Rhinolophus ferrumequinum: one gene and its partner. The protein of the gene in region 2 binds, or shares a complex with, the protein of the main gene of each other region. Links are inferred from orthologs where the notes say so. Each region holds a gene or a part of one and is shown on either strand. Other genes may lie near its edges.

Region 1 (10,431 bases), on a different chromosome or scaffold from region 2:
TCATCCACATTCCTACATAGGTTAGCTGTTAGGCACAGTGCTTGGGATATAGAGCCAGCACACAGTGATTGTTCGGTTAATTCTGGACATTTCCACCTTGATGTCCCCAAAGCACCTTGAGCTCAAAAGTCAGTTATTTGTTCCAGGTAATCCAGATGTGTACCTTCTCCTACACATCTCTTTCTTCTATATTTCCTAGTCTCTCAAACAAGACACCAATGAGTTGTCATTTCCGCACCCCTTCCCATTGGAAATCGGTCTGTAATTCATTGCCACTGAATCCATGTCCTCTTTTCTATCCCCCTCATAATCTCTCACCTGGACTACTTCCAAAGCCTCCAAATTAGTGTCATCCATCACCAATTCAATTGCCATACTGGTTCCAAGAGCGATCTGTCTGAAATGAAAATCTGTCTGTCTCTTACTTAAAACCTTCACCAAAGAAAAAAGTCTGAAGCAAGAGTCTTCAAAGACTAGTGCCTGTGAACCTTCTTAATACCTCACTTCTCATCAGTGCCCACTTCATGCTTATGTACTAATAAGGAATGCACATGGGTCTAAACAACTAAACTGATTTTAATTCCCCAAACAGAACACACAGCTGTGCAAGGCCTGGAACCATGCCCCACCCAACACCACCCCCACCAACAAACCTACTTATCCTCTAAAAGGCCTCAGACATTTCATCCTCCAGGAAGGCTTCCCTCACCCCTTCTCTCCAGTATCCATCCCTGCAGTGACACTGACACACACGCACACGCGCACACACACACACCTCTCTACCTTTATTAACTCTTCCATGTCTTTGCTCCTACAAATCTCTTACATCCTCAAGGGCAGAGCCTTCTATTAATCCACCTCCACACCCTCTGTACCCACCCCAGCACCAAGTGCCTGGCCTGTCGTAGGTGTTCAACAATATTTATTAAACTGAGTTTAAACACACTTAAGTAATATGTGATAGCCTAAGCAAGACTGGAATTTTAAAAATTCATGTTTTAATTAGGCTCATGTCAACCACAGAAAAACGGACACTCAAGTTATCTTAAAAAGCGGGCTGGGAGTTGAAAGCTATCCCGGACCTCTGAGGAGAATTTTTCCGTGGAGAGCTAGCTACTTCTTTCTCCTCCGCGTCCTCAGACCTTCCCTCTGCACAGGGGCGGTCCTGGCCTTACCAGCTTCTCCCTCAACTCTTCAGCTTCAGTCCTCACAGCTAACAAGCAATTTATCTCCATATTATCCCATTCAGATTTCTAAGAGGGCTGTTTTGGTTTGGTTTTTAGCACAAGGCCACAATGCCCTTTCTCTCCGCTAAAGCTATGGATCAGTGCCCTGTGGTTAGGTGCTATGTCAGAAGCTCTAGCACCAATAACTAACATTCCCCCAATTCTCAACTCAATATATTATTTGTATTTCCTTAGAACCATTACTAAAGTATATCACTAAAATTATTTTGCAATGCTTTTAAAAACAAGTCTTGCCAAGACTTGTTAACAGTGAAAAAAAAAAATCCTGCCTAAATATTTCTTCACTGAACCAGCTATACATTCCAAATGTGCAGGAGTTAATGTTTTTATTTGTACGTTTGCACAGAAAAAATCCTCTGGGTTGCTATAATTGCTCAACAGCCTTGGTTTAAAAAGCATTTTTTTACAAGCTTTCTGCAAAATTTCCCATACACTTACAATGTAAAGAAATGAGTAGTTGAGACATTTGTTAAATTCTATCCCATAATATTAAGCAACTTTATATAAGGATAATCACACACAATGGCAATCTATCAGGAACCAACAAAACTTGTTTCTCTTCCTCCAAACTAACACGACTAGGTAATGATTGAAGAAGGAAGGCCGCTCACTGACAAGCTACCGTGGCGAGGAAAGAGGGGTACAGGCTGTGACAAAGGCACTCTTAGACGGTCTCCAATAAAATCAGATCCTCAGTGCGAGTATTAAACTCCTACTAAAAAACTAGGAAAAAAATCTAATTAAATGTCTGCTATACCTAGGGAGACACCACATTTGCAATAAAAACAAATTTAACAGAAATATAACTTTATACACATCTTTGAAAGGAGAAGGCAATTTATTCACTAAAAAATGCTGCTATTCCGAGGTTCAACATTCACTGGAAAGAAATATTGTTAGCAGTGTATAAGGAGAAAGCTCTCTGATAATGGCCATTCAGAAGAGCTAACGAAAAGAAACTTTTTCCAACGCAGACTGTCCTTCCATTACTTGATGTAAAGGAAAGATTTTCTATTTTAAAATCAGGTAGGTGTTCTAGTTAGCCAACCTGTTTATTCACTATCCTCACTGGTGACTCATTTTAGTTTCATCTGCAGTAATGAGCAGCTGACTGTGTCATATCGTACCCATCAGTTTAGACCACTGTTAATAAACATATAATCTTAACAGATCTAATTTCAGAGGACAGAAATTGGTACAATTTAGAGTGCTGATGCTGTCTTTAAGTGAGGCCCGAGATGAAGGCACTATTAGAAAGCTTTCATTGAATTAAAGGCACTACAGAGCAAGGGGTTCTTTCATTCCTTAGCAAAAATTCATAGGTTTTAAAAAACAAAGAAAATGTTAACTTTAATGTCTTGGAGAAATTTTAGTCAAGCACTAAAAGGGTTATTATCTCCTTATTCCTTTTTAAATAATTGGAGCAATGAGCCAAGAAAATATGATAATGCATTCCTGAAATATACCAGGCTTTGATTTCTTTCCAAAGGAGAAACTTACAATGATTTTAATTTATTAATTAGGCCTATTTACAATTGTCAAATTAATAAAAATGGGAACAAAACAAAGAGGCACTAGTTTCTTCATCTTTCATAGTTGGAATCACTAGAAACTATCTAAATTTAATAAGTCAAGAATTTATATTACTTAAAGTCATGAAGGTAAACTGGAAAACTAAAAATAATAGCTTAACAATCAAAAATTGAGAGGCACCAGGAGGAGAAAAAGCAAAAGGCTGTGTGCACCCAATTTCTCATCTTTCAGAGTATCAACAGATACTATCTAAAGTTGATATATCACAAAACAGAAGTATAACTTTTAAAGTAATAAAGGCAACCTCCAGAAGAACCAGAAATAAACTGTCAATAGTAGTTACCTCTGGAGTTTGGGAGGATGAGGTGGGGAATACTTTTTATTTTATACCTCTGTACAATTTGCACTTTCCTACCATCTGTGTACACGTATATTCATTTTTCAATCTAGTTTTTAAATTGTCAATAATCAGACACTTTAAAAAAAGAAAAAAAAGAACATGTACTGTATTTCATTCTCTGTACCTAACAACTCATGGACTGTCAACTTTATAAAATGGAACATATTCTAAAGTGAAATATCTCATCTATCAAATAAAAGTTAAGCTAAAGGGAGGAAAGCTTTTTTCCCCATAGTGCAAAGTTCATAGCTTACCATCCTTAATCAAAACAGCTCTGTGACAACTACAAACTTTTTAAAAACCTACACACACTTCTTGGTACTGTTTTAAAATCAAGACCTCCTTGACCAATTTAAGCAAAATCACTGATACTGTCCAAAAGATCTCCTGTAAACTACTCCTGAATGCAGTCAAGCTAACACAGAGGTCAGAGGCTTCATGGAGCAAACACACTAAACCAGTATGTCCTTACATCAAATCAATACGACATTTAGGGACTTATATTTTCTTTGAAATCAAAAACAGAGGCATTTTGAAAGTTTGCTATCTTCACTGATACTCTCAGGAATGTAAAAGTATGCATTGCAGTTTCAACCTCCTAGTGCTTGAGTTTTTTTTTAAAGCAATTTACTTCTGCTTCGACAAGCACTAAGACAGGCCAAAGCTGTTGGGTTTTCTGTTAACCCTTAGTTTCAAACTTTTAGGCTCACAATAGCATTTCACTGTTCTAATGCTCCTAAATATAATTACCCCAAAGAAATTTCAAACCACAACTGAATTCAAGGGAAGGGGGGCACTTCACTGATCATGGAATATGACTGAACATAATGATCTCAGGACTGGATTATTTCTGGTAACCACAAGAGTTATAACTTAGGCAATAAATAACATGAGTAAAGATCACAGATTTTCAAGCTTTGCCTAGGCTCATCCTCTTCTCACCTTGCATTATCTCACCCTATGGGACCATCCTTGAAGCCACAATGACAAAGAAGTATTCACAAAATTTTACTTTACACGTACACATCTAATCTTGGAGAAACATAAGTACGTAAGGTACATCCCTGAAAACACATCAACTTCACTCTTAAATAGTAACTCGTATGTCTAATTTACTGGCAGCTTGACCACAGTCCAGATACACTTCGTGAATTCTTACAGGTGATGAAGATAAACCTGACTTGGAGAACCCAAGGCTTTAGGCCTGCTGGAAATCAAAAGGGCAGCAAACTGAAGCAGTCCTGCCGTTTAAGCCCATAGCAACTTAAGTTAACTGAGGCATCACTTGGAATCAACTCTCACAACCCCAAATACATCCAGACCTAATGACGTAAACCCTTGTAAATTTCTTAGTAGGCGAGTCTCGCGAACCCACCAGGTGGACCTACTCTATTTCAAGGCTCCTCCTGCGGACTCTACTCTGGACAGTCAGCCACGCGATTCCCGGGTGCCCTGCACCACACCTTGGGGGTGCCCCGATCCAGCGCCCCATGCTCCTCCCCCGACCACTCGGTCACCCATCCCGAGTCCTCAGAGTCGCCCTCTCAGATCAACCCTCCACAACATCTCTCCCTCACCCACCCCTCCGCCAGGCCAAATCCAGCTGGCCCTCCCCCTCCCCTCCTACCCGTACCCCCAGACACTCACCCGCGGTAGTAAGCTTTCACCCGGACCTGGTGAGAATGGTCCCCGCTGCCGCCGCCTGTGATCGGGTGAGACATGGTAGTGCTGTCTCTCTGGGTCGGCATCTCCTTACTCCCCCGCCTCAACGCCGGAGGCCGAGGGTGCCTGGGGCGCGCCGGGGGGCTCCGCTGCTCGAGCCTCTCCCAGAGCCGCGGCAGTCCGCTCCCCTACCTGTTCTCCTCGCCCGCGGCGCCGACCCAAGGGTCGCCTCGCCCGGGCAGCCGGAACCGCGCGGCTCCTCCCACTGCCCACAGCCGCCACCGCCTCTACAGCCGCCCGGGCCCAGCACGCCTCCCTGCCTCCGGCCCTCCCACCTCGCTCGCTCCAAAGGCCCACATTCCGCGGGAGGGCGGGCACTACCACCTATCCAACTCAAGGAGCCTCAATGCCCGGCTGAACCATTCTTACGGAGGGCAAGGAAAAAGGGGGAGAGAGAATGGGAGACGCTGATGCTCACATCAAATACGCCGGGAGGGAGGTTTTCGTGGAATCTGTGACTGAGAGAATGCGACGGTTCGAGTAACTATAGTTCTGTAAAAAGCCCCCTCCCTATAGGGAAAATGGTAGGGGACAAGTGCTGCGGCATCTCACCCCAGTTTCCTAACTTGGTCGCGTCCGCGGCCAGCCGATTTGGGATTCGGCTAGATTTGCTGTGTGGGTTTCTGGGATTTGGAGTCCCCGGGGGATTCTGGGACTTGAGGTTCCTTACGTATGGAACGCCCCGCCTTCTCTCTGACAGTGTCTCCAGGTTGCGCCCCAGGAACTGTTGGCGTGGAAATCCTGAATCCAGCTTGGGCATCTGAGGTCACTGGAAATGACTGGGCTTCGTCACGATCTAGACTTTGTTCTCTGATGAATTCTCCCTTCCAATTGCATAAATCATCTCAATTATACAATGCCTTTTTTGGCAATACAAATTTGGTTACCTGTTTAGCATAGACTCTTTTATGGAAACAATTAAATAATGTAACAAATGTAATAAAGGTGGAAACTCAACCAGAAGATGCGATGGAAGACTGATTTTTCTTCCTTCGTGGCCCCCATATCTGCGCCCTTGTATGTTGCCATTGCATGGAACAAGTGTACGATGAATATTTATGCCTGCGGCCATCCATCCATCCATCCATCCATCAGCATTGTTTCTGTTAACACAGGCTAACCAAGGATTATAAAAAATCTATCCTTGTAGCGTAGTCCCTGCCTTTCCACTGGTCTTGGCTCCATCACACACTGCAATTAGACGTAGCATGAATCCAGCCCCTGCGTCAGTCTTGGTACCAACCCATGCTAAAAGGGTGGAATAATTAACGAAATAACTGTCTTTGCTATGATAAAATAGGCTTATGGGATTGACTCATCAGAGATATTTGTGACAGTTAACCTGGTATAATGTTCTTCAACTGCTACAAACTTGGATTATATGCTCTTAATAAAAGTCCCCACTGAAATTCTCCCTTGGTAACAGGATTTTTGGCACTTGGGGACCTCCATCAGCATATTAAATATGAATCAGTTAGCTATGAAATATAAACTATTTCTAAAATGAGATTGTGAAATTTTAGTTGGACTAATGGAAAAGTTGGTATGCTTGTGACATTATGAAATTTTAAACATTATATGCTCTAAAAAAGGAAATTTTTGCTATATGGGAAGTGAGACTTTAGAAAGGTAAGGCATGAAACCGTTTTATTTTGGATACTGATTCCTTAGCAGTTTGAAAAATCCTTTATCATTGGCCTTATAGCATCCTTTGAAGGTAACCATTCTCTCAGAAAAGGCTTATTGTTTACTTTGTCGTCAAAAAGAATCTATAAATATTTATAGTTTGCTTCATCCCACCATATAAATAAGTTTTCTTTTTCTGAATGATGAAAGCTTTTAGTTGTGATTATCAAGCAAAGCATGACCATAATTTTTTAACAGCATTATTGAGGTATAATTCACATACCATACAAGTTGTCCATTCAAAGTATATAATTCAATAATTTTTAGTGTATTCACAAAGTTATGCAATCATCTCCACTATCTAATATCAGACCATTTCCATCCCCCCAAAAGGAAACTATACATTCATTAGCAGTAACTCCCCACTCTCTTTAGCCTCTGGTAACCACTAGTGTATTTCTTGTCGCTACGGATTTTTCTATTCTGGCCGTTTCATATAAATGGAATCATACAATGTGTGGACTTTTGTGTCTGGCTTCTTTAGCTTAGCTTAATGTTTTCGAGATTCATCCATGTTGTATCATATATCAGTTCTGCATTCCCATATGTGGCTAAATACTATTTCATTGTATAAACATTCTACATTAACGATGCTATGAACATTCATATATAAGTTTTTGTGTGAAATATGTTTTTAATTCTCTTGGGCATATACGTAAGAGTAGAATTGCTGAGTCATACGGTGGCTCTATGTTTAATATCTTAAGGGAATGCCAAACTGTTTTCCAAAGTGACCGCACCATTTTACATTTGTACTAGCCTTGTATGAGGGGTCCAATTTCTTTACATCCTCACCAACACTTGTTATGGACTGTGTTCTTTGTTATAACCACCCCAGTGGTTGTGAAAGTGGTATCTCATTGTGATTTTGATTTGCATTTCCTTAATGATTAACGATGTTGAATCTTTTCATTTTTTATTGTCCATTTGTATATTTCCTTTGGAGAAATGTCTATTTAAATCCTTTGGCCATTTTTAAGTTGGGTGCCCTATGTCTTTTTATTGAGTTGTAAGAGTTCTCTATATATTGTGGAAATAAGTCCCTTTTTAGATGATTGCAAATATTATCTATTCTGTGCATTGTTTTTCCATTTTCTTGAGTGTATCATCTGCAGCACGATAGTTTTTAATTTTGATGAAGTCAGATGTATCTATTTTGTTGTTGCTGCTTATGCTTTCTGTGTCGTGTCTAAAAAGGCTTTGACTAACCGAAGGTCATGAAGATTTTACAATGAGTTTTCTTCTAAGACTTTTATAGTTTAAACTCTTATGTTTAGGTTTATGATCCATATTGAGTTAATTTTTGTGTGTAATATAAGTGGTCCAGATTCATTTCTTTGCATATGGATATCCAGTTATCCCAGTGCCATTTGTTGAAAAGCCTATTCTTTCCCCATGTAATTGTCTTGCACCCTTGTCAAAAATCAATTGACCAAAATGTAAGCGTTTATTTCTGAACTCTTTGATTCTATTCCATTGATCTATATAGCTATCCCTAATACAAAAATCACAGTTTTCATTACTGTAGTTTTGTAGTAAATTTTAAACAGAGAAATTTGAGTTTTACAACTTTATCTTTTTTAAGATCGTTTTGACTATTCTGGGTCTCTTACATTTCCGTATAAATTTTAGGATCGATTTGTCAATTACTTCAAACTAGTCAGTTGGGATTTTGATAGGGGTTGTGTTGAACCTGTAGAGCAGCGTGTGGAGTATTGTCATATCAACCGTATATATAGCCTTCCAAGCCATGAACACATAATGTCTTTTCCATTTATTTAGATCTTTAATTTCTTTCAACAATGCTTTGTGGTTTGCATAGTGTGATTTGCATTTCTTTTGTTAAAATTATTCCTAAGTATTTTATTCTTTTTGATGCTATTATAAATGGAATTGTTTTCTTAATTTCATTTTTTTAACTTTTTCATTCTATTATTCTAAATGAGCATTCTAAATGCCTGGAATCCTGAAATGTTTGAGAAATAATTACTTAAAAGTGTGTTAATTTCATGAAGTTTTAGAATTTTATTTCACCTATCAATACAGACACTGGTGGCTTTTAGCTCTGACTACACATAGGAATCACTGAGGAGCTTTTTATAAGCTATTTTGGTGGTAGTGGGAGGGTATCCCAGATCAATTGAAACAGAACCTAAGGGGGATGTCCTGGGGGATTTCTTTCCTTCCTTTCTTCCTTCCTTCCTTCCTTCCTTCCTTCCTTCCTTCCTTCCTTCCTTCCTTCCTTCCTTTCTTTCTTCTTTTAATTGACATATAAAAGACATATAATATTAGTTTCAGGTGTACAACATGATTCGACATATTTTGCAAAATTATCACCACAATAAGTCCAGTTAACATCCATCACTACACAGTTACAAATTTTTTTTCTTGTGATGAACACTTTAAAGATTTACTCTCTTAGCCACTTTCAAATATGTAATACAGTATGAGCTCTAATCATCATGCTGTGCATTACATCCCCAGGACTAATCTTGTCTCTGGAAGTTTGTACCTTTTCACCACCTTTACTAATTTCTTCCACCCTCCACCCTTCACCTCTAGCAACCACCAATCTGTTCTCTGTATCTGTGAGTTTGGCTTGTTTTGTTCTGTTTTGTGTTTGTGTTTTAGATTCCACTGTAAGGGCAATCATAGGGTATTTGCCTTTCTCTGACTTATTTCATTTAGCCTAAAGTCCTTAGGTCCATTCACATTGTCACAAATTGCAGGATATTTTTTAATGGCTGAATAATATTCTTTTGTGTGTGTATTTACATATATATATATACACACACACACACACACATATATACATATATATGTATATATATATGTGTGTGTGTATATATATATGTATATATATATACATATGTACATATATACATATCATATTTTCTTTATCCATTCAACCATTAATGGACACTTAGGTTGTTTCCATGTCTTGGCAATTGTAAACAATGCTAAAAGAACATGGTGCAGATATCTTTTTGAGTTGTGTTTTTGTTTTCTTTGAGTAATTACCCAGAAGTGGAATAGCTAGAGCATATGATAGTTTTATTTTTAATTTTTTGAGGAACCTCTATACTGTATTTCATAGTGGCTACATCAATTACATTCCCATCCTAATTTCATTTTTAATTATTCATTGCTAGTGTACAGAAATGCAATTAATTTTGCATATACCTTGTATCCTACAAGCTTGCTGAACTCATTTATTAGTTTTAATAGTGTTTTTAGTTTTAATAGGGAATTCCTTAGAATTTCCTATATGTAAGATTTTGCCATTTTAGAATACAGATTGATTTACATCTTTCTTTCCAATCTGGATGCCTTTTATTTCCTTTTTTTTACCTGATTGCCTTAGCTAGAACCTGTAGTACTATGTTGAATAAAGAGGAGAGTGTGAACATCTTTGTCTTATTTTCAATTTTATATGATAGTTTTCAGTCTTTGGCGATTAAATGTGATGATTATTTTAGTTTTTTGGGGTTGTTTATTTGTTTTTGTTTTTGTTTTTGGGGGGTTTTTTTTGCAGATACCCTTTATCAGGTTGAGGAAGTTCCATTCTATTTCTAGTTTGTTGACTATTTTTCTTATGAAAGGGTGTTGGGTTTTGTTTAGTTCTTTTTCTGTGTCTATTGAGATAATCATGTGGTTTTGTCCCTTATTCTATTGATACGGTATGCTACATTAGTTGTTTTTTTTTTAATGTAAGCTAACCTTTCTTCCTGGGACAAATCCCACTAGGTTGGGATATATAGTCATTTTTATATGTTGTTATATTCAGTTTGATAAAATGACATTGAGGAATTTTGAGTTTATATTCATAAGCATGGTTTCCTT
Region 2 (10,394 bases):
CTTTATAGGCATTGACTCACTTTGTGTCAACTGATACCCCCAACGGGGACACTGAGACCCAGAGGGTCGGTCACACAGGGAGGGGTGGAGGTGGCCGTCCCTGTCCAGGGAGCCGCCAGACACACCGCACCCGGCTGCCCTGAGTGAGAGGCTTCGCTTCGGGCAGTGGGGGTGGGATGCTGCGTGGCAGGCAGGGAGGCATCAGCTGTCTGCGTGCCCCCACCCCACCCCCACCCTGCGCTCGCAGGGAAAATGCCCGCTTTGTGCAGCTCACATGGCCCATTGTGCGGCCGCCAGCATCCAGGTGGGGGCTGAGCTGCGCTCACCATGCAGAGCCTGGCACTGCCCCCAGCCCCTCTGATGAACACACGTGCCTTCACAGTCACACACGTACGAGTACCGTCCTCAGGGCAAGGCTGGCTGTGTGACCCTGGCCCACCCACCACCCTCAACAGGTGCCGTGATCAGCTAGCCCAGGCCTGGCCTCCCTAGTCAGTTGCTGGGACGATGGATCACAGGGTCGCCGAGGAAACTGGCTGGCTGAAATGCAGCAAGGGACAGCTGTGGCCACTGCAAGCTGCCCCCTCCATCTCTGGGAGGAGGTACCCCAGGGCAGAAGCTCTGGCAGCCTCTACCAGGATCCAGGCACCTACCACAGCCTCCCAGCCTGGGCCCTAAACAGCACCCAGGGAGCTGCAGGCAGGGGGTCCTTACAGCCCGAAGGCACGGTCCGCAAAGGATACATCTTGACGGCCCCAGACCTGGTGCCAATGGCCATGATGCGAAGCTCGGGGTCAAAGGCCAGGGCGCTGGGCTGGTTAGGGAAGCCATGCTCCACAGTCTGCGGGAGAGGGGAGGGCATCTGTCCAGGCACCGCTGCGCCCCGGCCTGGCCCAGCCCACCCACGGCAGCCTCAGGTTCTGCCGCGGCTGCACACTGGGACTCAAGCCGGGTCCACCTGTGCTGTGCCTGCGTCGTGAACCCCGAAACGGGCAGTCACCCTCCAGCTGGTATGGAGGGTCCGAGCCCCTGGGCCCCACCCCAGGCCAAGCCGCCGTCCCTCTCAACACCTGTTTCCACCCCACTGTGCACAGGGCCCTGGCAACAAAAAGGAAAGACAAGGTTCAAGGAGGTGCAGGCACAGAAGAGGACCCCATCTGCCTCAGGAGGTGGGGTTCTGCACCCCATTCCTACAGGCACAGACTGAAGCTTGGTGAGGCCCCATGCTGCCTGGGGTCCCCCGTGAAGTCCGTGGTGCTCCCCAAACAGCGGCCCTGTGTGGAGGTCAGAGGCCAACCCCTAAAGTCATCTAGACAGAGGTTCTAGACAACGTCCAGAAGCCACCCCAGCCCTCAGACTCAGCAACAGGGAGACTGAGGACCAGGGAGCGTCCTGCCCGGACCCGGAAGGTGTCACCCACCTCCAAGACTTGGGTTCCACAGCAGGGACTGAGGAACATGATCCCCACCCCGTCTGTGGTGGGAAGAGTGTGAAGGGGGCCTGAGCACTGGGGGTGTCAGTGGAACAGCTCCCACCCGTCCTCTGCTCCCGGCTGGGCCAGTCCCAGCACAGACCGGCCCTGACCCACCAACCTGACGTAGGCTTTCCTCCGTTGCCCACCCACCCAAGGTGCTCCCACTCATGCCCTGAAGCCAAGCTGGGGGGGCCCCTCCATGGGAAGTCTGCACCCCCAGCCCCATTCTGAATGCCAATGTGGGGTACCACCTGTGGACCACTGGAACCTCCCGACCACTGCCTCACCAAGACGCACATTTTGTAAGAAACCCTGCTTCCTGGGCCTGTGGCCCCAGCCTCCCTCCTGCCTCAGCCCATCCAGGCAGGGACTGAGCCCTCTGGACAGCTGGCTTGGCCTTGGGCTCTCACATCTGACCCTTCCCTCCCGCCACTCTCCTCCAGCTCACGACTCCAGGCTCACTGGCCTTTGGCTCTCCTCCAATTTACTAGGCAGGCCCCTGCCTCAGGGCCTTTGCATCTACTGTCCCTCTACCTGGAACGCACTTCACCCGCACTCCCCATGGCAGGCTTCTGCCCATCACTCAGGTCCGAGTTCACTCAACTCCTCAGAGGCCCCCAGAAGCCACCCTGGCCACAGCACCGTCCGCATCCACATGCTCCAGGCCATCACCCTACTTTATTTTATCCATAGCACTGGCTACCATCCAAACTGCTGCATCTTTTACTCTGTGGTTTTGCCTTTTCTCTGTCTCCCCCACTAGGACATCAGCCCCCTGAGTGAAGAGGTATGTGTCCCTTTTGGTCACTTTGGTGTCCCCAGCACCTAGAAGAACTCACACCCGGTAGGAACAGTATTTGTGGACGTCCCACAGACGATTTGTAGGCAGGGCTGGGTGTGGACAAAGTCCACGCTTGCCCCTGACCTGCCTCCCCCACTAGGGAACCTGGGGCCTATTCTCTAGTGGTCTCCCACCACCCCCTCTGGCGAGCAAGCCCCTTGCCCAGACCACCCTCTCCCAGCACTGCTGCCCACTCAGATTGGGACCTCACTCTCCTTAGGGGGAACCCTCGCCTTCTGCCAACCCAGGGCCAGCCAGGGAGACAGAACCTCCCCACCATCTGTCTCAGGTCCCCACTTCACACCCCCACTCACTGGCCGAGGAAGTGACACCTTAGCTCAGTGCCTGCCCCATCACTCTTCTCTCACCTCGCAGGGGCTCACCCTCATGGCCACCCGGCACAGGAAGGGGGGCGTCTGGGAGCACCTGGGCACCGGCCCTCCCTCTCGGCCCCGGAGGCCTCTGACAGGTTCTCGGCCACCAAGTCTGAGGCTCCTAGGAGCCCCCCACCTGCCCCAAGAGATGTCCGGGTGCCTCAGCCACTCCAGGTCCAGCTGTCCCAGAGCTCCCTCCTGGACAGGTCTCCTCGGGGACCACAGCAGCCCCTCAAAGTTAAAGTCCAAACCAACCAACAAAAGGACATAAGGAAAAAGTGCCCCAGCTCCATCTGGGACTTTGGGCAAGTCATCACCCCTCTCTGAGCCTCAGTTTCCTCACCTGCATGATGGGGAGAACAACTCAGATCCCCAAGAGCAGTGAGGACCTGTGCAATCAGAGGGCTTCGAGACCAGATCCGGCACTCTGGGAGGAGTTAGCCAGGGGCAGGCTGGGGGTTCACGCTGCCGCACATCAGTGCAGAGGGCGGCAGGGACTGACCCGCTGCTCCTACCCGGGCCCATGTGACACAGAGCCAAGGCTCACAGCAGGGAGGAAAATGGCCCCATTTCACAGTAAGGGAAACCGAGGCCCCATGATTTGCAGTGCAGTTGGGCACACAGGCCTCGGCAGGGCAGGGCAGAGTCTAAAGCTGTGGGGGAGGGAGGAGAGGAGCATGGAAGGGATTTCCCAGCCCCACCCCACCCCCAACCTCTGCCTCCTCTCCTCATCCCTCCTGCCCCGCCCGGGTGCGAAAGCAAAACAAACCCTGAACCTGGCTGCCCCAAGGGCTGCCAGGGCTATGGAAGAACCCCCAAAGAAAGAGGGATAAAGAGACAGAGGGTGAGACAGAGTGAGAGTTCCAGAGACCCCACAGACATATCGAGGGGGAGAGAGGCCGGCAGGAAAAGACAGGCAAAGACTCAAAGATGCTAAGACAGAAATGCAGAGGCAGAGAGGTGAAGGGAAACAGAGGAGACACACAGGGACAGAGGCAGACACACGGGCATACACTGAGGACAGGAAGGCGGCCACAGTCAGGGGCAGAAACCCGGAGACATGCAGAGTCAGAGCACAGAGAGAGACGCAGAGACAGGGCCACCGAGGCCCAGAGACCCGGAGACGCAGACACGGAAAGTCGGCGAGAGACCCAGACCCACCCAGTGAGCGGAGCAGGGGCGGAGGCGGGAAGTGGGGCCAGTCGAGGGGGCGCCGGGCCCCCGCGCCGCGCCCCAGCCCGGCGCCCCCTCCCCCCGGGCCCGACGTGGCTCCGGCTCCCGGGCCCCCAGCCCCAGTCCCCGGCCCGCCCCCTCCCGCCCAGCCCCGGGCGCCGCCGCCGCCGCACCTTGTTGAAGGCGAAGAGCTCCTGTTTGAGCTTCTCGCGCTGCGGGTCGGCGCCCTGCCGCCGGAACCTAAACTTCATCATCTTGCGTCCAGCTGCCGGCGCCGCGCCCGCCGCCGCCGCTGCCGCCTGCAGGATGCGCCGCGCGGCCCCGCCGGTCCTGGGGCGCGGGCGGGGCGCCAGGCGGCCCAGGCTCGGGAGCGGGGCGGGGCCTTCACGGGGGTGGGCGCCGGTCGCAATTGACGCACTGCCCGACCAATGGGCGCGTCCGAGAGCCTCCCGCCCCGCCCCTGCGGGCCAGACAATGGGGGAAGACAGGGCCCCGGTGCTCCTCCAAACTCGCGAAGGAACACCCGCTGAGCATGCGCTGAGGCGCGGAGCCTGCCGGGACTTGTAGTCTGCGAGCCAGGGCTCCAGCGCGGGCAACTGGGGGACGAGTTTGGAGCGGGTCCCCGCGCGTTCCCGAATTTGGAGGACGTTTCTTCCCTCCTCCAACGAGCGAGCGACGTGCATATTCAGGTAATGAGACAGCTCTGTCTCGAAAGCCACGAGAGTTCTGACTGGTGCAACTTTCTGGTCCTTCAGCCTCAGTTTTCCCCATAGATGCCATTGGCTCAATATTTTACCAGTTTCGTGGGACAACACTTTGACTGTTCCCCAGTGTGCCAAAACTCCTTCACCGACATGTTTTTGACATGTTTTTTGCCCTGGCTGTGTGGTCAGCCCCCGGGAAGGCCCTTCTCAGCCCCCAGCCCCTGGGGAACTCCTACACAGCCTTCAGGACCCGACATAAAAGGCTCTGTGTGGCCGCACAGGGGGTTCTTGGGAGTGCCATCAGCCAAAGTGAGGTACAGAGACCCAGCAGAGAGGAGAGGCCCTTACTCAGGAGGTGGCAGTTGGAAAGGTCCTGAGATTGGATTGTGCCTTTTCCAAGAAAGGGGAAGGGCCTCTCCTGTGCAGGGAACAGTGTATAAACAAAGCTGTACTCGGCCTCCCCTCTCTGAGGGAGAATCAACTTGTCCCCACCCATCTCTCAGACCTCCTTTTCTCATCTGGACAATGGCCTCCAGGCTGAACCTTTCCTTCCAGGATGAGGATAAGCTGCCCTGGGCTCAGGGCTGGGCAAGTCTGTGGTCCCAGAAGCTTAGGTGGGGCAGGTGGACCCGTCCCCAACCCAACCAGCTGTGTCAAGGGAGGCAAGCCTGATTTTTGACTCCCAGAGACAGCTGCCAACCAACAGGGGCCTGGCTGCCCTCTCCACCCACGTCAGCCCTGCTCAGCCCCTCCCCGATTGGAGCTGGATCTGGAAGAGGGGTGGGTGGGGGTAAGGATGGTGAGAGGAGGGGAAAATGTTAGAAACAACAAAGCTTGAGTGCCTAATGTGTGGCAGGCACTATTCAAAACCCTTTCCTGATTTCAACTGATTTAATGCTCTCAACAGTTCTGTGAGGGAAACAATATTATCCCAGTGCTACAGATGAGGAAGCTGAGATAAATGGGCAAAAGCAAGAGCAGCTTTGACCTGAGTTGTGGGCAGAGCTGGCTGGACAGCGGCGTCAAACTCCTTGGGCCAGTGCCCATCCCACACCCAGCACCGGCAGCTCAGGCAGCTCTGACACCTGGGTTCTGGTCCCTGTCCTGACATCCACTGGCTGAGTGACAAGGCCTGAGCCCCAGTTGCTTCTTCCACAAAATGACGGCCTCACACAGAGAAGCGTTAGGAATTTGTTAATTCATATCCCAATTCACCACTTAGAAGCTGTGCAGCCTGGAGCAAGTTACTTAAGCTCTCTGTGCCTCATCTGTAAAAATGTGGATAATACTAGTACCTACCTCAAAGGGTTATTGTGAAGATGAAATTAATTACTACTTGTAAAGCCCTCAGAATGTGTCGGGCAAACAGGAAGAGCTACGTGTTAGCTGTTATTAGAGTTCTTACTACTCGCTATTTGAGTTCTTCTCCTCTATCATCCGGGGCCAGTCCCAGCCTTTCCCCAGTCTCCATTCTTTGAAATGGGACTTAGTCATCAGTCAGTAAGCAACCATGCCATCCCCACCCCACCCCCAACCCATGTACACCCAGCGCACAGTCTAGGGGGTGAGACAGAGCTGGGTGGAGACCACAAGCACCAGGGGTGCACTGTGCTGTGATGGGGCAACGTATGGGGGCTGTGGGAGCCCAGCAGAGGCATCTGACCCCGGGCAGGTGTCCTGCAGGGAGAGGGCACAATTCAAGCTAGGCTGTAACAGGTAGAGAGGGCTGGAAGGCAGACAGACAAGGGTCCCTGGCAGGCAGGCGTTCTCAAATTGGCAGAACTCCACCCCCCAACCCACACACTTGTTAACAAGATAGTTCTACGTTCACCAAATGTGAATGCCTGTGGAGCCCCAGAATCTGGATTTTAAACCAGGCATTTCCCAGGTGACTCTGAGGCCCAGCTTGCCCCAACCCAGTCCAACTGAAGGGGGCTAAACGGGTACACTGAGGCACCAATGGGTAACCTGAGACCTGGGCAGACAGGCCCAGCCCATCCACACAGCCAGGCAGGGTTTAGGAATGGCACTGGGGAGGGGACCGTCTCCCAGCCTGGAGGGTCTGGGGCACTAATGACCGCCTCCCCTTGCCCTGGAGCTGGGGCAGCCCAGGCCTATGATTACTAGGGTAGCCCAAGGCAGCAGGGTCAGACCGCCAAGCCAAGTCTGCTCATTGCTCGAAGCAGGACACTAAGGCTCAGGGGAGCCCAAGCAAGGGTGTGGACGCAGGGTCTTCAGTGCTTTCAGGCGCCCCACACCTATCCTGGGAGATGGAGTCAGACAGGAGGGCACCTGAGTCAGTAGCACTGGAAGGAAAGCTGGTCCCTCCTTCAGACTCAGGTCAACCTTGGGCCAGGGAGGAACTGCTGCCTTTTCAGCATTTCCTGGCTGGGATGGCCTCTCCCTCCCCCTTCCTCCTAGGCCACCCCAGCGTCCTCACCTAGCTCTGAGGTGGGACCAGGTCTGACTTCAAATCCCAAGACATCCCCATGCTGGCTGGGTGACTTCAGCTAAGCCAGTTGTCCACCGTGGGCCTCAGTTTTCTCATCTGTAAAATGTAGTAAGAACTAAAGGAGATGATTCAAAACAGGAGTTGAGCACAGGGCCCTGCAGGGTCTGTACCTAGTAAGCCAACTTTCAGGACTCTTGCTCTAGGACATGCAGGCTGCCTCATCATTCTTCAAATGTACCAGATAAGCTTCTTCTGCCTCAGGACCTTTGCACATGCCGTTCCCTTCCCTGGAACGCTTTGTCCCCAGGTTTTCACATAGCCGAATCCCTTTTGGTCCTGGCTTAAATGACACTTGCTCCCAGAAGCCTCCCTGACCTATTTCCCCCATTCTGGATGCTCTCCTCTGCCTGGTTCTCTCTGACTTCCTCTTTTTTCTCCAGCCTGAGAATGAACTCCCTGGGTTTAGGTTTTTAATACTGTTCATTGCAGTGTCCCAGTGCTTAGAACAGTGTCTGGGACATAGTAGGTACTCAACACAGTTTGAAAAAATATACATATAGAATTTTTAAAAAACATCTGAAGCAAATATGATAAAATGTTAATGTGGGCAGATGGTGAGTGCTTGGTGGCTTCTATGTTACTTTAAGTATTTTTCAGTGCCTTTGAAGTATTTCATTAACTGCCCCCCCCACCCCATACACACACAAATAATCCACACAGTTTAGGAAACAAGTCCACAGGAAGTGGTGGTTGAAGGGATGTGGCAGGGAGCAGGTGGGTGAGTAGGGGTGTCCCTGAGCCAGGCTGGCATGCATCGAGGGTAACCTCAGAGGCAGGCACCCCAGGAAATGTGGTATCTGTGCTTTCTCTCTGAGTCCTTGCAACGGCACTGGAAGTAGATACAAGGATGATCCCACTTTACAGACAGTAAATGGAAGCTAAGAGCAGAGAAGTGACTTGCCCAAAGTCACCTGTGAAGGGAAGGAGAGGAGAAGGGGAGACAAGGGGAAAGCCCCAAATGGAGGCAGAGTGGGGGCAGCAAGGGAGTGCAAGAACCAGGAGAGCCTGGCTGAGGAAGCTGGGCCCTGCCTCCCAGGACCTGGCCCAGATCCGCGCTGAGGCCGCAGCCCTCCTCTGATGCCCGAACCACACAAGCAGCTTCTTCCGGGTGCCTCCCCAGGGGCCTGGCAGACTGGAGGCAGGGCGGGAGCAGGCAGAGCCTGGGATGGGAGGAAATGAGGCAGAAAGAAGCGGGGTGTTTGGGGACTGGCTGGAAGACCACTAGGGAGCCCGAGCCAGTGGCAAGGGGTGAGCCCCTCATCCTGTGTGGTGTGCTAAGTGAAGCTGGATCTAAGGGCGCTCTTTAGGGCCCAGAGAGGGGAGGTGGCAGTGGACCTGGGGCCCTCAGTCCACAGGGTGAACAGTGTGCTGGCCTCAGTGAAAGAAAAGCCAAACAGGTAGCAGGAGTGTTTGGCAGATACCGCCTGTCCTCATGTTATAAGGGAGGAAACTGAGGCTCAGAGAGAAGTGACATGGGGGATAATACAACGGTCTCTAGACCTCCAGCCCAGTGGTCCTTCTCTGGGTGCCAGGAGTCTCACCCCTGACACTCGCCCTGAGCTGGGATCTGTGCTGTGCTTTCCTTGGCTCACGCTGGCACAAGGACCTGGGGATTCGGGTGCACCTGCCCCCCACAGGGAGTGTCAGGTTTGAGGCTACAGGGGCTGAGCAGGTGGGCATTGTCACAAGCCTGTTGGAAGGTGGGGTTCTGGGCTTCATTCCTCTCCGTGGTCTCAAGTTCTAATCCTGCCTCTGCCACTTCATCTTTCAGGGCCTCAGTTTACTCATCTGCAAAAAGGGGGTGAATAGTAATTGCTACCATTTAACGACACTAAGCACTTAGTCGGTGCCAGGCACCTGGTCATTCCTTTAATCCTATGCCCATTTTACCACGGAAGAAACCAAGGTCAGAGAGGTTAAGTAATTTGTCCCAAGTCACACAGCTAGTATGTGGCAGAGTCAGGATTTGAACCCAAGCCCCAAAGTGAGGAACGGTATTAGAGGGTGCAGAGAGAATTCAATGAGACCATTTGTAAAGGGCCTCCCTCACAATGCGAGTCCAGGAGAGGGTGGGGCTTAGGTCCTAGTAGCTCAGCCTGGAGAAGCACTGGGACCACGCAGTACATTCTGTGCTGAGGGAAGCTGGGGTTTGGGAAGCATCAAGGCAGCCCTGAGGAAACTGGGTGAACCGAGGTGGCTTCCAGCAGGAGCCTAAGGCAGAAGGCACTGGCACGCTCAAGGATGAGGCGAGAATGTCCCGGGGAGCGGTGGCCCCTCTGCCTAACTAACCCTGAGGGTCCTGGATAAGCAGGGCAGAGGCAGTGGGGGACCTAAATTCTTGCTTCTGGGGCCTCAGCTCCCCATTTAAACCAAAGGACAGGGGTCCCCTGCACCATTCGGAAGCACCATCGCTCCGATTCTGCTGCCCCCCTGTGGGCACCGGGGAGAACTGCACCAATGAGCACCCTGGAACCTAACAGGGGGACACCAGCCCCACAGTGCCCAACACTGGCTCCAACCCCGCCCAGCCTGGCCCCCAGCCCGTCCTTTCGGTGCAATGGCTTCCTTATTGACGATTGGCTGTCCTTGACACAGCAGCACGAGGGATTCTAAGTCTGATCATGACCTCCTCTGTTCTTCACGAGAAGCCACTCGCAAGAATCAACTGTCAAATTTTAAGAATTTTGAGTCAGTTGTTAAAACACAGCCATTATTAAAAATTAAATTATATGAAATTTAATTATATTAAAAACAAAGGTAATGTTCAAAACTAAGCACTTCCTTTTTTACCATATTTTACTATTGTCTGTGCTCTTTTTCTGTTGTATCTGTATGGTGGAAACACTGTATAATGGTATGCTTCTGCTATCTCTTCACCACTCCAGTTATATTGCATGAGTAGCTTGAAATCAGCCATGATGAGAGTATTTACACCATGGAAATTGGCAGACACTACAAATCAGATTTGATTAATTGTTGATTTTCTAGACCAGTGCCATCCAATAGAAATATAAAGCAAGCCACACATGTAATTTTAATACTTGAGTAGCCAGATTGAAAACAGTAACAGGAAACAGGTGAAATTTACTTAAATAGCATTTTATTTAACTCCAAAATATTATTTCAACATGTAATCAATATAAAGTAACTTTTTTACATTCTTTTTTCATACTAATTCTTCAAATTCTGGTGTATATTTTACACATAAATCACATCTCAATGCAAACCAGCCACATTTCAAGTGCTCAACAGCCAAATTGTCCAGTGGCTGCTGTATTGGACAGCACAGGTCTAGATTTAAGAAACAGATGGAGAA

The links. The genes of interacting proteins can lie anywhere in the genome.
Region 1: the proteins of LLGL1 (region 2) and PRKCI are in contact, whole or in part, in a cryo-EM structure (PDB 8R3Y), measured with the Homo sapiens proteins. The link is inferred for Rhinolophus ferrumequinum from reciprocal best matches to the Homo sapiens genes LLGL1 and PRKCI. Residues at the interface, in NP_004131.4 of Homo sapiens: Ala315, Asp319, Glu367, His391, Ser392, Ala394, Thr396, Glu453, Cys483, Glu484, His485, Phe506, Asp507, Pro508, Tyr509, Ser510, Asp511, Pro513, Gln518, Lys519, Lys569, Ala600, Val601, Thr602, Leu644, Gly648, Pro649, Leu650, Ser651, Arg652; in NP_002731.4 of Homo sapiens: Asp339, Met341, Gln345, Arg348, Leu381, Asp382, Met399, Thr412, Phe413, Cys414, Pro417, Leu425, Glu445, Gly449, Arg450, Ser451, Gly457, Ser458, Ser459, Asp460, Asn461, Pro462, Asp463, Asn465, Thr466, Glu467, Asp468, Tyr469, Leu470, Phe471.

What each region holds. Positions count from the first base shown.
Region 1 is NC_046285.1:72,046,208-72,056,638, forward strand, and holds the start of PRKCI (protein kinase C iota type), read right to left. Parts: upstream 5,225-10,431; 5' UTR 4,929-5,224; coding exon 4,828-4,928; intron 1-4,827.
Region 2 is NC_046304.1:637,222-647,615, forward strand, and holds the start of LLGL1 (lethal(2) giant larvae protein homolog 1), read right to left. Parts: upstream 4,184-10,394; 5' UTR 4,117-4,183; coding exon 4,036-4,116; intron 842-4,035; coding exon 744-841; intron 1-743. UniProt on the Homo sapiens protein: Cortical cytoskeleton protein found in a complex involved in maintaining cell polarity and epithelial integrity. Involved in the regulation of mitotic spindle orientation, proliferation, differentiation and tissue organization of neuroepithelial cells.